2 linked regions of the Diceros bicornis minor genome follow. The protein of the gene in region 1 binds, or shares a complex with, the protein of each later gene. Links are inferred from orthologs where the notes say so. Each region holds a gene or a part of one and is shown on either strand. Other genes may lie near its edges.

Region 1 (7,726 bases):
GAGAACATTGCTGTGTTTCCTTCCTGTCCCTGTCTTTCAGCTCTTACCACATCTGCGTGTCCATAAACTTAGTATTCTCGGCGTCTCTAGAAATATTAGGTAAATGCTATTCTGTACGTATCTGTCCACAGCCCGCTTTTCTCTCTCAACCGTGTCTGGAGTTTTTAAAGAAAGGTCAGCCATAGAAAAAATATAGTGAATCCTACAACCACCAACATAACGGTTGGCACTTTTTTCCACTTCTTGTGTCATGAGGAAGCCTCTCTGAGCCCCCGTCATCCCCACAGTGACCATTATGACGCACGTGTGTCCTGTGCCCATCGGCTTTGTCCACACTCGCACGCAGCCATCCGTGACTAGCAATTGACAACTTACGTCGACAGCATGCAACGATGGAGCGCCGACCATCCCAGGCTCTGTTCTGGGGCTGGGCGTGTAGCGAGGACAGAGTGACACCGTCCCTCGCTGCCTCGAGGACAAAGCAGGCAGACAACAACACAAGTGAACGAGGGAATTTTAAAGAGCTAGAAATGCATCAAATAATCAAAATAAAACAGCAAATTGGGATGAAGTGACTCTGAACCTTGCTTTGTGCGTCTCCAGATCGTATTATTAGTGCCCAGATCTTAGACGTGTAGCTGGATTATTTTTTACATGTGTATTTGCCTGTGTCATCAGCCACCTAGATCAAGATGTAGGAAATTCCCATCACCCTGGAAGGATGCCTGGCGCCCCTCCCAAACCAGTCCCTTCCCCATCCCCAAGAGGTGATCACAGTTCTGATTCCCATTACTATAGATTGGTTTTGCGTGTTTGAGAATTTCACACAAATGGAATCATACAGTGTCTATTCTGTTGTGTCTGTGACATGCATCTGTGTCATTGCATGTATTAGTCACTTGCTCCTCTTCATTGCTGTATAGTACTCCACTGTAGAGGTGAACCACAGTTCATCTTTGGTTATCCATTCATCTGTTGACGGACTTTTGTGTTGTGTTATGGGCTGAATTGTGTCCCCCTAAAATCCATATGTTGAAGCTCTAACTTCCCAGTACCCCAGAATGTGAGTGTATTTGGAGATGAGGCCTTCAAAGGATTGAGTTAAAATGAGGTCACTAGAGTGGGCCTAGTCCAATATGACTGGTGTCCTAATAAGGACCATGTGAAGACACAGGGAGAAGACGGCCATCAACAAGCCAAGGAGAGAGGCCTCAGAAGGAACCAACCCGGCTGACACCTTGATCTCGGACTTCCACCCTCCAGAACTGGGAGAAAAGAAATGTCTGTTGTTTAAGCCCCCCGGTCTGTGATACTTAATTAGGCAGCCCCAGCCAACTAATTCAAGTTGTTTCAGATTTGGGGCCATTGTGAATAAAGCTGCCATGAACATTCGTGTATGTATTGTAAGGCGTGGCTTCTTGTGGACACGTGTTTCCGTTTCTTACGGAAACTACCAAGAAGTGGAATTCCACGTTGTGTGATCTAGAGAATCTTCCTGAAGCTGCGGCAGAATTTCCAGTGGACGGCACACCGTGCGTGACCTCACTCCTCCTCATGTGCTTTGCAGGGTTGGTTTTGCCCTCGTCCTGGCTGCTGTCCTGTGGAGATTCTGGATGTGGAAAGAATGTAGGAGCCACAAAGAAAGACTAGAAGAGGGACTCGAGAACTTTCTTTCCATTCACCCTTGGATTCAGGCTTCTCCCCTCTGCCCTATGCTCCCTCAGGGCCTCTTTTATTTTTCTTTAGGGAGTACCTGACTTTTTGTAAAACCAATACACACTCCATGTTTAAGAAAAAAAGTATTCCATACAGAAAAATACCGAAAGGAAGTCAAGATGAGGCCAAATCGAAACACCCAGAAGCATCGATGTTTAGTGGTTAACGTCTTTCTGGGCAGCTCTGTGGCTCCACAAAAGCGCACAGTTTCTCTCCTGGGGTGGTGCTTCTACAAATGAGGCAACGTTTAGCTAATCCCTCACTCATGATGATTGCGCTGTTTTCAATTTTCCAATGCTTTAAGCCACACCGCGCAGACACTTTGTTACTGACAAGTTAGTGCGCTTGGATGTGTATTTCCTTCGGCCAGTCCTAGGCGAGGGAATGCAAGTTAGTATATATGCAAAATATATTAAAATACATTTATATGTTACAGCTCACATACATTACACAAACACATACTATATATTAATATCTACAGAATTTTCGATTTATGTGTATATTTACATTTAAGCCAAAATAACATAGACACATGGTAAAGAATTTTAAATACAGCAGGAAAGTCCAAAAATGAGCTTTCCTCTTCTGACGCCTTCCTCTCAAAGCATACTTCAGCACCAGTTTGATATTTCTTTTCAGAAAATAGCTTGCATATATCTACGTATCTAGGTGCTATTAAAGACTTACTTTTTTTTGTTGTTGTTGAGGAAGATTGGCCCTGAACTAACATCTGTTGCCAATCTTCCTCTTTTTGCTGAGGAAGATTGTCCCTGAGCTAACATCCGTACCCATCTTCCTCTATTTTGTATGTGGGTCGCCGCAGCAACATGGCTCGATGAGTGGTGTGTAGGTCTGCAGCCAGGATCCCAACCTGCAAACCCCAGGTGCCAAAGCAGAGCGTGTGAACTTAACCCCTATGCCAGTGGGCCAGCCCCCACGAATTGGTTTCTATAACATATGCGATTTTGCATCTTGCTTCTTCTTAGAGATTTTTTTGGGGGGCTTAAGCAACAGACATTTATTTCTCACAGTTCTGGAGTTGGAGATTTTTTTTTTTAAGATTTTATTTATTTTTATTTTTTCCCCCCAAAGCCCCAGCAGATAGTTGTATGTCATAGTCACACATCCTTCCAGCTGCTGCATGTGGGACGCGGCCTCAGCATGGCCGGAGAAGCGGCGCGTCGGTGCGCGCCCGGGATCCGAACCTGGGCCGCCAGCAGCGGAGCGCGCGCACCCAACCGCTAAGCCATGGGGCCGGCCCTGGAGATTTTTTTAACACGAGCACAAATCGATCTATTTCTTTAAAGACTGCATGGCATTTCATAGATTACATCACAGCATACCTTAATCTGTTTAACCAGCCTGATGGATGGGCAGATAGGCATTTCCAATTTTTGCTATCACGAACAATACTGCACGAATATCTTATTCTCACGCATTTGACCACATTTACGAGTTTTTCTCATCATCTTAGCTGGCTCAAAGGAAAATACATACATGTATTTTAAGTCTTAGGAGATGTCAATTTTCCGTCCAAAGAGCTGGCATAGTTTCATGCACTAACAAAGTGTGCGTCTGTTTCTCTACATTTTTGCTGCTGTTGGGTGATATCCAATTTTTAAAGTTTTTCCCATCTGCTACGTTGTTTGAATTTTGCGTTTCTTGGAGTAAATTTGAGTAAGTTTGCACAAAAGTTTACTGGCCCTTTTTACACACTATATTTTCATCTTTATTGCTAGATCACCCTCTTTCTTCCACTCACTTCCCCATCCTGCTTCCTGGTATAGAGGATAAAGAGCCTAAACTCTTTAGTCTGGCTTAAAAATCCTTTATGATCTGGTTCCCACCCTACCCCAAATGCCCATTAATTGAGCACTTACTGTATACAGACACTCTGTGGGTGCTGGGGACCCAGGAATCAACAAGGCAGGCAAACGTCTGCTTTCTGCAGCTGACATTCTAGAGCAGTGTTTCTCAACCTTTTTTCCCCCCCCCTTATCGCCCCTCTAAGAAGAAAACTGGAATTATCTTTAAATTTAATTTAAATCAATTAATTTCAATTTAATTACATTTAATTTCTCCCTAACGAGAAAAATTAAATACTTAGGTATAAGATTTTATCCGATAGGGCTGGCTTTGGAGGGCCACAAGCTATTGTAATGTCTAAGGTTCTTTTTTGCCCCTCAAGAATTAATTGTGGCGCCCTTGGGAGCCATATTGCTCCCATTGAGAACGCAAGCTTTAGAGGGGTAGCTGCTGGACAGTAAACAAATAAATGGAAAAGATTAAATCAGGGGCCCGAGACTGTTATAAAGAAAAGCAGGAAGAATGTTGGAGGGGGCCGTTTGACATCTTGATCGTCTGAATCAAGAACGCTCTTCCCAGACAAGGAAGACCAGCCTTGGTTTCTTCAGCTGCCAAATGGAAATGATAATTTCCTCCTCACGGTGCCTGGCATACGGCAAGCCCTCAATAAATGAACTTTACTGTAATTATTAATTAAAAAAATATTTTTAAATGTAAACGGAACAAGCGCTGAGATGCGCCTCTGCTCTGCTACCGGCTTGGGTCCGGCGCCCAGCGGCGCGCACAGCCGGCGCCTCCACCTCCGTCCGGAGGGGGCGCTGTGGGCGCCGCGGCCGGGCTGCTCTAGGCGGCGGCACCGGAAGTCTCGTTCTCCCCTCACTTCCGGTCTCTGGCCCGGGCTTGGGCTGCGTGGAGCAGGGTTTGCAATGCCGACCGGAGACTTTGAGTGAGTCGGGGGTGGTGGCGGGGGTCCCGGGAGGCGGTTTGGGGGTTCCGGGGAGTCTTGTGGAGCCTGGGTGCCCCGAGGCCGCGGGAGCCGGGCTTCGCTGACCCGCCTTCCCCCCGCGAACTTGTCCCCGCAGTTCGAAGCCCAGCTGGGCCGACCAGGTGGAGGAGGAGGGAGAGGACGGTGAGTACGGCCGGTCGCCCCGGCTCACCGCAGCCAGCGCCCCGCCCGGTCACTGCCACCTGCTCCGGCCCCCGGCCCTGGCACCGCCAGCCCCTGCCCCGCGCCATCCTCCTGGACGGCCTGTCGCCAATTCCAGAGGCTCACTGGCCGGCCCCTCCTCCTCCCGTGCCACCCCAAGCCCTCACAGCTGCCCGTCTGCTCGGGGGAAGAAGCTGTCACAACCTGCCGCCTGCCTTCGTACCAGCGCCCGGATGCCTTTATGGGCTGCCCCCGCCTTCCTGCCGCCCCCATCCTTACCATTGCTGGAGGTCACTACAGCCAGCTCCCTGTCCCCGCACGGCTGTCCCCGGGCACTTCTTGGCTCTTGGGCCCCCCCTTCCTCAGCTCCCAGTGTGAGCATCATCCCCAAAGTCCATCCGTTTCAGCTTGGCACACCCCGCCCCCCTGCTGACCTCCCCCCCACTGCCTCTCACAGACAAATGTGTCACCAGCGAGCTCCTCAAGGGGATCCCTCTGGCCACCGGCGACACCAGCCCGGAGCCTGAGCTACTGCCAGGAGGTGAGTGACGGGCGACCTCCACTCCATCCTGGGCTGCCTGTCTCCCCAGCCGCATTCCCGCCTGGTCCCCATCACCCAGGACTCAGTTCCCCGCCCCTCTTCCCCTCTCCCAGCTCCACTGCCGCCTCCCAAGGAGGTCATCAACGGAAACATCAAGACAGTGACCGAGTACAAGATCGATGAGGACGGCAAGAAGTTCAAGGTGAGGCTGGGGGTTCAAGGTTGTGCTTGGGGGCGCTTGGGCCACGAGCGGGTGGTGTGTGGAGCAAGATTGCCTGCCCCAGGAGCCTTGAGACGCAGGAAGCCGACCCTCTCCCTCCCATCCACAGATCGTCCGCACCTTCAGAATTGAGACCCGGAAGGCCTCAAAGGCTGTGGCAAGGAGGAAGGTGAGACTCTGCTCCCCTTGTCCTGGGGGCTACCCCAGGACTGACTCAGGAATTAGGACTCCTTTTCCTAGTGCCTTTATTTCTAAAGATTTTATTTATTTATTTTTCTCCCAAAGCCCCAGTAGATAGTTGTCTGTCATAGCTGCACATCCTTCTAGTTGCTGTATGTGGGACGCGGCCTCAGCATGGCCGGAGAAGCGGTGCGTCGGTGCGTGCCCGGGATCCGAACCTGGGCCGCCAGCAGCGGAGCGTGCGCACTTAACCGCTAAGCCACGGGGCCGGCCCGCTAGTGCCTTTATTTCTAGAAATGAGGTTTAATTGTTTGTACCTATTTTGTTGGAGCAGAACTGAGGCCTAGGGGTGTTTCATTCTCTGGGTGCCCCGAACAGTCCAGGGCGCAGGAGTGGGCAGGGTTGATTCTGCCTCCTCTTGGCTTGTCTGCCAGGAGGAACAGAGCCAAGCCCTCCCCTAAGGTGGTCAGACCAGAAGCCATAGCAGTAAAAACCTCTGGCACGATTGTTTGCATACTTTCTCCGTGCCAGACCCAGATGCTTTGCATTCACTGTTTTCTCATTCAGTCCTCATGGCAACCCAGGGAGGTGTGGCGCATTGTGGTCCCCTTTTTGTAGGGAAGGAAGCTGAGGTTCAGGCCCCTTGAAGTCTGGGGGACCCCTGTACACCCCTGAGCATCGCTCCCTAGTGGGAGCTGGCCCACCACCTGCTCGGCCCCCCAGGAATTGTTGTCTGTGAAGCTGTTTCCCCCTGCGCCTCGGTTCTCTCTGGAGCTTGGGGCTGAGGGCTGCCTTGCACTGCCCCGCTAGGGCCTCACATGCACTCAGGAAATGGGAATTGTCATCGTCACCCTTGTGGGAGGGATATGGGGCCCAGACATCCCAAAAGGGGCTATAGCAGGTCTGAGGAGCCAGTGGGTGGGGGCCCCCACCTGCCCTGGCCCTGACCTGTCCCCTCTCCTGCCCTGAGCCCAGAACTGGAAGAAGTTCGGAAACTCCGAGTTTGACCCCCCGGGGCCCAATGTGGCCACCACCACGGTGAGCGACGATGTGTCCATGACGTTCATCACCAGCAAAGAGGTGAGTGGGGCAACGGCGGGGCCGGCGGCCTGGGAGGTGGTGGCGGCAGGGTGCGGCAGCCCCCTCTGAGCTGCGCCCCCCACCCCGCAGGACCTGAACTGCCAGGAGGAGGAGGACCCGATGAACAAGCTCAAGGGCCAGAAGATTGTGTCCTGCCGCATCTGCAAGGGCGACCACTGGACCACCCGCTGCCCCTACAAGGACACGCTGGGGCCCATGCAGAAGGAGCTGGCCGAGCAGCTGGGCCTGTCCACGGGCGAGAAGGAGAAGCTGCCCGGAGGTGCGGGCTGGCGCACCGCGTGTGTCGGGGGTGTACGTGGGTGTGTGCATGCACACCTGTGAGCAGACACACACGGGTCTGCCTGGAGTCTCCTTGAGCGGGGTTTGCCGATGGCGAGCTCGAGTCTGGACGGCTGTGCACCCACAACTCGTGTGTGTGGGACTCAGGGACTGTCTGTGTCCTGTGTGCCTCTGTTCCTGTGTGTCGTGAGGCTGGGCATTACTCTAGTTGTCAACCCCTGTGGGTTCTCACTCTGTGCTGCTGGCTTCCTGGATGCGACCTTTATGTCATCGTGGCCACCGGGCTCGGACGAACCGGATGCCTGTGGCTTGACAGACAGCGCGGGGCTGGGTCGGGGCTGGAGCCGCTGGCACCCTGGGGCAGGTCTGTCCCGCCGTCTGCGCCAGGGTGAGGCCTGAGCCGCCTGTGCTCTTTGTCTGCAGAGCTGGAGCCCGTGCAGGCCACCCAGAACAAGACAGGGAAGTACGTGCCACCGAGCCTGCGGGACGGGGCCAGCCGCCGCGGGGAGTCCATGCAGCCCAACCGCAGAGGTGAGGCGGTGAGGGCACCTCCCAGCACCCTGTGATTAGCCCGTGGGTGGGGCCCGCCCCTCACAGCCGCCTCTCCCTGCCATCTAGCCGATGACAACGCTACCATCCGTGTCACCAATCTGTCGGAGGACACGCGGGAAACCGACCTGCAGGAGCTCTTCCGGCCCTTCGGCTCCATCTCCCGCATCTACCTGGCCAAGGACAA
Region 2 (7,814 bases), on another chromosome or scaffold:
TCTTTAACAAAAATAAAACTAAGATTTTTTAAATTCATTTAAAAATCAGTTTGGTCTCAGATATCATTTTAAATGAATATAAAGCATAGGAATATAGAATATTCACCTTTTCCCATGAAGTTGGTCCCTATAGCTCACTTGGGAGTGGTTCTCCTATCCAGTAGCTATTAGGAATGGAAACCAATGTCCTGTGTTTAGAAAATCAGGAGAAAAGTTAAAAAAAAGGGATTTCAAGCTGGGACACATAAGCATTCCTATCCCCATTCAAGATGTATCCTTTAATTTTGTTCTTTCTGGTATCCAAGTGCCTGAACAGTATCTGACACATAATAAAGATGAATATATATGTAAGAATAAACGAAAGTTTAAAGTTTCAAATAATTTTGCCCATATCCTTTCACTATCTCCTTTTCAAGAACTTCCCTTGAAAGGATGTTTTTTTACTTCACAAAGACCACAGAATGAAGAAAAATAGCAAAAAGTATAAGACTTGGGAATGTTTGATGAAAGAGTACGTGTATCTTTTAGTTTGTATTCCTAGAACTCTGGGAGGAGCTCAGAGATTACTCCTTTAGAACCAGCAGACATCCACAGACACCTACTGAGTGCCTGCAGGGGTGCTGCACACTGAGGTGGGTGGAGGGAACACAGTGAGACCTGACACACAAGTTCCCTGCCTGCAGGCTCAGTCTCTACATCATCAAGGGTATCCATGCAGGAATGAATCCTTTCAAGTTTAGTCTATTCAGATGTTTTCTATCCTGCCCACTTTTTTTTTTTCTTTGCCTCCCATTTGTTTATCTTGAGGCATAATCATGATATCAATAAACTGCACATTTTCAAGTGCACAACTTGCTAAATCTTATATATGTACACTACCATGACACAATCACAACCAAGATAATGAACATATCCATAACCCCCAAAGCTTCCTCATGCCCCTTTGTAACTCATCTCTCCCTCCTCCTTGCCTAGTCCCTCTCACACAGGCAACAACAATCTACAGTGCTGCCACTTTAGTTTGTATTTTCTAGAGTTCCATATAAATGGAATCATACAGTATGTTTGGCTTCTTTCACGCAGCAAAATTATTTTGACGTTCATCCATACTGTTGCATGTATCAGTAGTTCATCTTTTTTTATTGCAGAGTAGTATTCCATTACATAGATATGTAACAATTTGTTTATCCATTCACCTGTTGAGGAACATTTGGGTTGTTTCCTGTTTTTGGCTATTAAAAATAAAGCTGCTGTCTTTTTGGAAAATAGCTCCTCAAAAAGCTAAACATAAAGTTACCACATAACCTAGCAATTCCACCCCTAATTATATACCCAAGAGAATTATAAATATACATCCATACAAAATCTTGTGTGTGAATGTTCATAGAAGCATTAGTCATAATAGCCAAAAAATGGAAACAAGCCAAACGTGCATCCACTGATGAATGGGCAAACAAAAGGTGGTATATTCATAACAATGGAATATTATTAAGCAATAAAAATGAAGGACTGATACATGCCACAACCTTGAAAATATTATGCTAAATATAGAAGCCAGGCACCGAAGGCCACGTATTGTATGATTGCATTTATATGAACTGTCCAAAATAGACAAATTCATAGACAGAAAGTAGTGGTTGCTAAGGATTGAGGGAGTGAGGAATGGAGAGTGCTTGCTAATGAGTACAGTTTCTTTTAGGGTGATGAAAATATTCTAAAATTACATAGGGGTGATGGTTGCACAATTCTGTAACTATACTAAAAACTACTGAATTGTATAATTTAAAAGTGTGAATTTTATGATATTGGAATTATATTTCAATAAAGCTGTTATTTTTTCACCTTTATTGAGGTATAACTGACCAACAAAATTGTAAGTTATTTAAAGCGTACAATGTGATGATTTGACATACGTATACATTGTGAAAGGATTCTCCCAACGTTAATTAACACACCCATCACCTATTTACTTTTTTTTTTCTTTTTGGTGAGAACATTTAAGTACTACTCTCTTAGCAAATTTCAAAAGTTGCAATGAACATTCATGTACAAGTCTTTGTATGGACACACCCTCTCATTTCTCTTGGGTAAAGATTTAGGGGTAGAATATCTGGGTCATAGGGTAGGTGGATGTTCGACTTTTTAAGAAACTGCCCCTCTTTTGCAAAGTGGTTGTGCCATTTCACATTTGTAGCAGCAGTATACGAGCATTCTGGATCCCACACATGCCTGCCAACACTTGGTATGGTCAGTCCTTTAATTTTAGATATTCTAGTAAGTACATAGTGGTATCTCATTGTAGTTTTAATTCTCATCTCCCTAATGACTAATACTGTTGGTATTTTTACTTGTGCTTATCAGATATCTGTATGTATTGTTTGATGCCACCTGTTCAAATTTTTTGCCCACTTTTTAATTGGATTGGTTGTTATTGAGTTTTATACATTCATACACTCTCGATACAAGTCATTATCAGACGTGTTGTTTGCCAATATTTCCTCCCAGTCTGTGGCTTGTCTTTTCATTCTCGTAGCAGTGTCTTTCAGAGAGCCGAAGTTCTTAATTTTGATGTAGTCCAGTTTACCACTTTTTTTCATTCAGGGATCATGCCTTCAGAGATGTATCTAAAAATATCTTTGCCTAACCTAAGGTCACAAAAACTTTCTTCCATGTTTTCTCCTAGAAGTTTAATAGTTTTATATTTTACATTTAGGTCTAAGATCCATTTTAAGTGCATTTTTCCATTTAGTATAAGGTATGGATTCAATTTCATTTTTCTCAAATATGGATATAGAATTGTTCCAGCACCATTTGTTGAGAAGACTAAATTGCCTTTGCATCTTAGTCAAAAATCAATTGACATGTGCGAGTCTACTTCTGAGCTCTCCATTCTCTTCCTTTGATTGATTTGTCTATCTTGATGTCAATCCCACACTGTCTTGATTACCATTACCATTTTGCACGCCGATCCTCCTCCTTTTGCTGAGGAAGATTGGCCCTGGGCTAACATCCGTGCCCATCTTCCTCCACTTTATGTGGGACACCACCACAGCATGGCTTGACAAGCAGTGCATCGGTCTGTGCCGGGATCCGAACCTGCAAACCCAAAGCGGAGCATGTGAACTTAACCACTACGCCACTGGGCTGGCCCCCTACCAGCAATTTATTAGAGTTCCAGTTGCTCTACATCCTTATTATTGTATTGTCAGGTTTTTAAAAATTAGCTTTCATAGTAACTGTGTAGCAGTATCTCACTATGTTTGTAATTTGCATTAAAATTGGGTTGTTCTTTTTCCTACTATTGAATTTCCCATCATTTTTTTTTAAAACTTACTTTGCCCTAATTTCCTAAACAATAATCATCTCAGGGTGTATCAAGGCCTGCTTGTCTGTTTTCTCCCGCCTTTAAATAAGAGGCAAGCTTGCAACTGCTGCAGGTGATAGTCTGCCCCAGAAAATTGGAAGACGTTGGCTGGAATTCAGGCCAAACCTTTGGAGTCACCTTGAGTTCCTTTTTCCCTCATACCCCGTATATGATCTGTCAGTAAATCTTATCAGTTTACCAACCAGCTTCTCACCACCCCTCACTGTCTTCTCTTGCTCGGCCTCTGCAATCGCTTTCTAAAGAGTCTCCCTGCTTTGGCCCTTGCCCAACTCACACCAATTTGCAACACAGCTGCCAGAGTGACCCTGCACAGAAACAGTTCCATGTCCTCCTCCTTCCGCTCCAGACCTGTCACGGGCTCGCCAACTCACCAGCCAAAGCCCCAACTCCGACCACGGCTCTCTCCCCTCCGTCCTGCCCTCCCCTCGGCCGAGTCCGCCCCGGCCCCTCCTCCTCACGCCCCTTCCTCGCCTCTCCCGCACGAAGCTCTCCTGCAGGCCTCTTCGCTAGCACCGCCCGCGCCCGCTCCGCTCCCCGCATCACCGGAGCCGTCTCTGCCCGCTCCAGGACCGGGCGTGCGCGCTCACACACACCCCTCCCGGGGTGCAGTCGGCGCTCGCCGCGTCCCGCCCGCTACACGTTAACCTCCGCGGGCCTCACCCTCGGGGAGGAACCGAGCCCGCCCCGCCGCGGACACCGTCGTCCGCGCTGCCCTCCGCGCCCCCGGGGACGCCGCGCTCCGCACCCCGGACGAGGCCGCGGATTCTCCTGAAAACCACGGTCCCCGCGCGGGACACTGCCTGCGGCGGGGACGGGGAGGCGGCCCGGCGGGAGCCACGCCCGAGGCGCTCGAGGGCGGCCTGAGCCCGCAGGTAGAGGGGCGTGGCCAGAGAGAACACCTGTTCCGAGCACCAGCGAGTCTCGTTGACCAAACGGGCCTAAAACGTCACGGGGGAGCGAGCCGCGGGCGGGCGGTAACGCTGACGACAGTCAGCCGCGCCGTTGCAGCGGTCAGAGGTCGCGGGCGGCGGCGCGGGAGGGCGAGAGAGGGGGCCAGAGCGCGCCCTGGGATTGGCCCCGTGCCCCAGCCCCGCCCCCAGTCGCGGCCAGAGCGCGCTGCGATTGGCCCGGGTGGCCCGCCGTCCCAGTGACCCCGCCCCTCAGGAGCTGCGCGGCGTGACCCGGAAGCGGTTGTGAGGCACCGCCCAGCTCCCTTTTCCGGTCGGCGTGGTGTGCTAGTGGACCGTCGTCGGGCCGGCCTTCGCCATGAGCGTCCCGGCCTTCATCGACATCAGTGAGGAGGACCAGGTGTGCGCCCGGCCGCGGGGCCCCGGGCGGGCTGGGCCTGGGGGGAGGGCGGCTCCAGGGCAGGGCGCGCGCTCGGGCCGCAGTTGTGTCCGCCCGGCGGCCCAGCGCTGATCCGAGGCCCGCGGCCGGTCCGGTCGGCGCCGGGCCCTTCCTGCCCGGGTCCCCGGCGGCTCGGGGGCGCGGGGTCTGCTCCCGGCCCTGCGGCCGCGGGCGGGCGGCGGAGAGGGTCGGAGGGCCGGTTTTGCCGGTCGCGGGCGCCGGCGGCTGGAGGCGGCCGGCCCGGCTCGCGGTTAAGGGCTCCGTCTGGGGCGGGGCGGGGCGGGGCGGCGCCCTGCGCGTCGCCCACGGGGGTCCGGCTGCGGCGGCCGAGACTGGGCGCGAGGTGCGCGCTCCGGTGATGTCGGGAGCAGGACGCTGTCACGTGGCTCCCGGCGCCGCGCCCTTGCTGCCCCTGCTGCCCCGCCGACGTGGGGTCTCGGGGGGCTTCCGAGAGGACCGCTGTTCGGGCCGCGGGTGTGGTTCGCTCCGTGGCGGGGCGGGGAAAAGGGGAGAGGGGAAGGAGGCGCGGCGGGCGTCGGGCGCGGGCGCGCGGGTGTGGACGCGCGAGCTCCTGCCCGGCTGCGGTGTCGGCGTGTCGTTCCGGGTGGCTGTGCTGCCGCCTGCCACTCGCCGTCCCTTTCGGGACGCAGGCGGTAGTCGCGCGGCTGAGCTTGGGCCGGGTGCTCTGTGACGAGGGTTACGGAATGGGGTGGAGGCTCCCTGTTTCTTTTCCTTCGCTTGTGCCCCGCCGCCGCCGCTGTGGCCGGAGAGGATGACAGCCAGGAACAGTAAACTTGACTGAGTAGTCTTAGAAGTTTGCTTTGTGTCCGCAGAGCAGAGACTGAAGAAATGTCTTGATTTTGGACCATGGTATGTTTCCTTCATAAAGAAGCGTGCTTTCCGTTGGTGTTTTTGTGGCCTCTGATATATCTTGTTTGTAATACTAGCTCATACGTGAAGTTAGTGTTGTTATCTGAAAAGGTAGCACCGTCTTATCTGCAGACTTCATATACTTTTCTTAGGTGGCCAAACATTTGTGGGTTTAGGAAATGTGATTCCTATGCATTTTCTAATGGTATCCTTAGCTCTCCCTGTTTCACTTCTTCATTTTATCATCTTAAATACCATTTGCATTCATGTTTGGCTGCCATACCTAGCTCTAAAGAGAACAAGGTATTAAACATTGTATGTGCATTACAGTAGAAACTGCCTAAATACCTGGACGCGGTGCTGTAGTTGTTTTTATAGGTCCAAAGATGCTTTCTGGTCCAGACATGCATTTTGCATTTTAAAAGATTAATTACATGGTAGGTCCAATTTGATATAAATATTTTCTTCAAGGCAACATTCAAAGGCATCATCTGTTTTATCTTTGTGTCATCCAGAATGCTTGTCTCAGGTAGGTTCTCTAACATGTAATTGACAAATGAACACCCTCTTGCCAAGGGAACGCCTCCAACTTTTTTAAGTAGCTGTGTTATGTACACTCGAGAGCAGTAACCCAGATCGAATTTACCAAGTCAGATCAACTCTGCTCCCCACCCCACCCCCAAAGGCTTTGGGTTATATTAGAAAGGTTTTTGCTGTGTACCGGAAGCCCAGCAGGGTATAGGTGATCCGTGTGGGTCATAGTGGGTCTTTGTAGCTTCTGGGTCTTGTAGAGGAAAACCTGTGGGGCTGTGATGATGCATGTGGTGGGGGAGAGGCACTTCCGCGTAGTTTCAAGTCATTGTTAAACACGGTATTTACATCTGTTTCTTCAGAAGTAGAGCAGAACGACTTGATCGTGTGTTTTGCCGTTGGTGGTTTTGTAGATACATAGTAACCTTATTTGAGTCAACAGGCTGCGGAGCTTCGAGCCTATCTGAAATCTAAAGGAGCTGAAGTTTCGGAAGAGAACTCTGAAGGTGGACTTCATGTAGATTTAGCTCAGATTATCGAAGCCTGTGATGTGTGTCTGAAGGAAGATGATAAAGGTTTGTTTTTAATTTTTTGTAATATTTCTTACTGATCATAAAGGACCTACTTTTTAAACTTTCTTGTGAATTATATTTGTTTTATACCTTAGAACTTATAAGCACTGTTGTTTTTAATCTTATTTTTGCACATACTTTCAGTTTATTCTAATCTGTTATACCTGTGAAGTAAGCCTATTTTGAGAAAACATCTTTTTTACATCAGGTATGTTTGTGTGTTGTTGCACACACTAAATACTGTTAATTTCAGAATGAACTAAAGGGAAAAAATGAAGCTTTTCTTTCCTTTTTAGAAGGTTTAGATTAGTATCAAATGGGATATAATCTAAAAGCTGTTTATTTGGCTGATTCTCTATTTATTGAGATAAAATGAAACGTTTTGAAAATTTGGAGTGCTGAAATCTCTAGTTAAGATTTGAGACTAAATTCGGCATATGATTAATATTTTAGACTCGAAAGTTAGTGACCCAACCAGAAAGTTGATAGCTTTTATATCTAAATAATTTTCTATTTGTACAAAGTTTTTTTCAGTTGGGAAAGCATCCTAGCCTAAGACCTAACCAATAACTTCCAAATGATTGAATATCTTGCTAGTAAAAATTGAAACTGTATATATAGACATGTAAATCATCCTTCAACTAGTTTTACTAGTTGAAAACCAAGTCTCAGGTAATAATTTCCTTCTTCTTTAATAAAGTGTACAAATTGCTTTCTGAACGTTAACTGTACAACAGACCTGGTTTAGTTTGAATTCATGTATGCTATATTTTTACTATAATGCACACCATTGAAGAAAAAGTGTCCTCTAGAACTGGTTCACAGTAGCCAAATTATATCTTTTTGAAGTGTTCATGTTTACTGGTCTTTGGTGTATTAAAACTGGAAATACATATTTAATTAGATACATTAAGTGTGATAGTATCACTGTTGTGTTATCCGTTCACGTGTAGATGTTGAAAGTGTGATGAACAGCGTGGTATCCCTCCTGTTGATCCTGGAACCAGATAAGCAAGAAGCTCTGATTGAAAGCCTGTGTGAAAAGCTGGTCAAATTTCGGGAAGGTGAACGCCCGTCTCTGAGACTGCAATTGTAAGTTACGACTTGAA

Evidence for each region.
Region 2: EIF3G (region 1) and EIF3M share a complex: the UniProt entries of both Homo sapiens proteins name them as parts of the eukaryotic translation initiation factor 3 (eIF-3) complex. The link is inferred for Diceros bicornis minor from reciprocal best matches to the Homo sapiens genes EIF3G and EIF3M.

What each region holds. Positions count from the first base shown.
Region 1 is NC_080769.1:9,003,912-9,011,637, forward strand, and holds the start of EIF3G (eukaryotic translation initiation factor 3 subunit G), read left to right. Parts: upstream 1-4,394; 5' UTR 4,395-4,448; coding exon 4,449-4,468; intron 4,469-4,604; coding exon 4,605-4,651; intron 4,652-5,126; coding exon 5,127-5,210; intron 5,211-5,323; coding exon 5,324-5,412; intron 5,413-5,539; coding exon 5,540-5,599; intron 5,600-6,585; coding exon 6,586-6,690; intron 6,691-6,780; coding exon 6,781-6,970; intron 6,971-7,413; coding exon 7,414-7,521; intron 7,522-7,608; coding exon 7,609-7,726. UniProt on the Homo sapiens protein: RNA-binding component of the eukaryotic translation initiation factor 3 (eIF-3) complex, which is required for several steps in the initiation of protein synthesis.
Region 2 is NC_080746.1:87,831,524-87,839,337, forward strand, and holds the start of EIF3M (eukaryotic translation initiation factor 3 subunit M), read left to right. Parts: upstream 1-4,591; 5' UTR 4,592-4,651; coding exon 4,652-4,693; intron 4,694-6,575; coding exon 6,576-6,708; intron 6,709-7,658; coding exon 7,659-7,797; intron 7,798-7,814. UniProt on the Homo sapiens protein: Component of the eukaryotic translation initiation factor 3 (eIF-3) complex, which is required for several steps in the initiation of protein synthesis.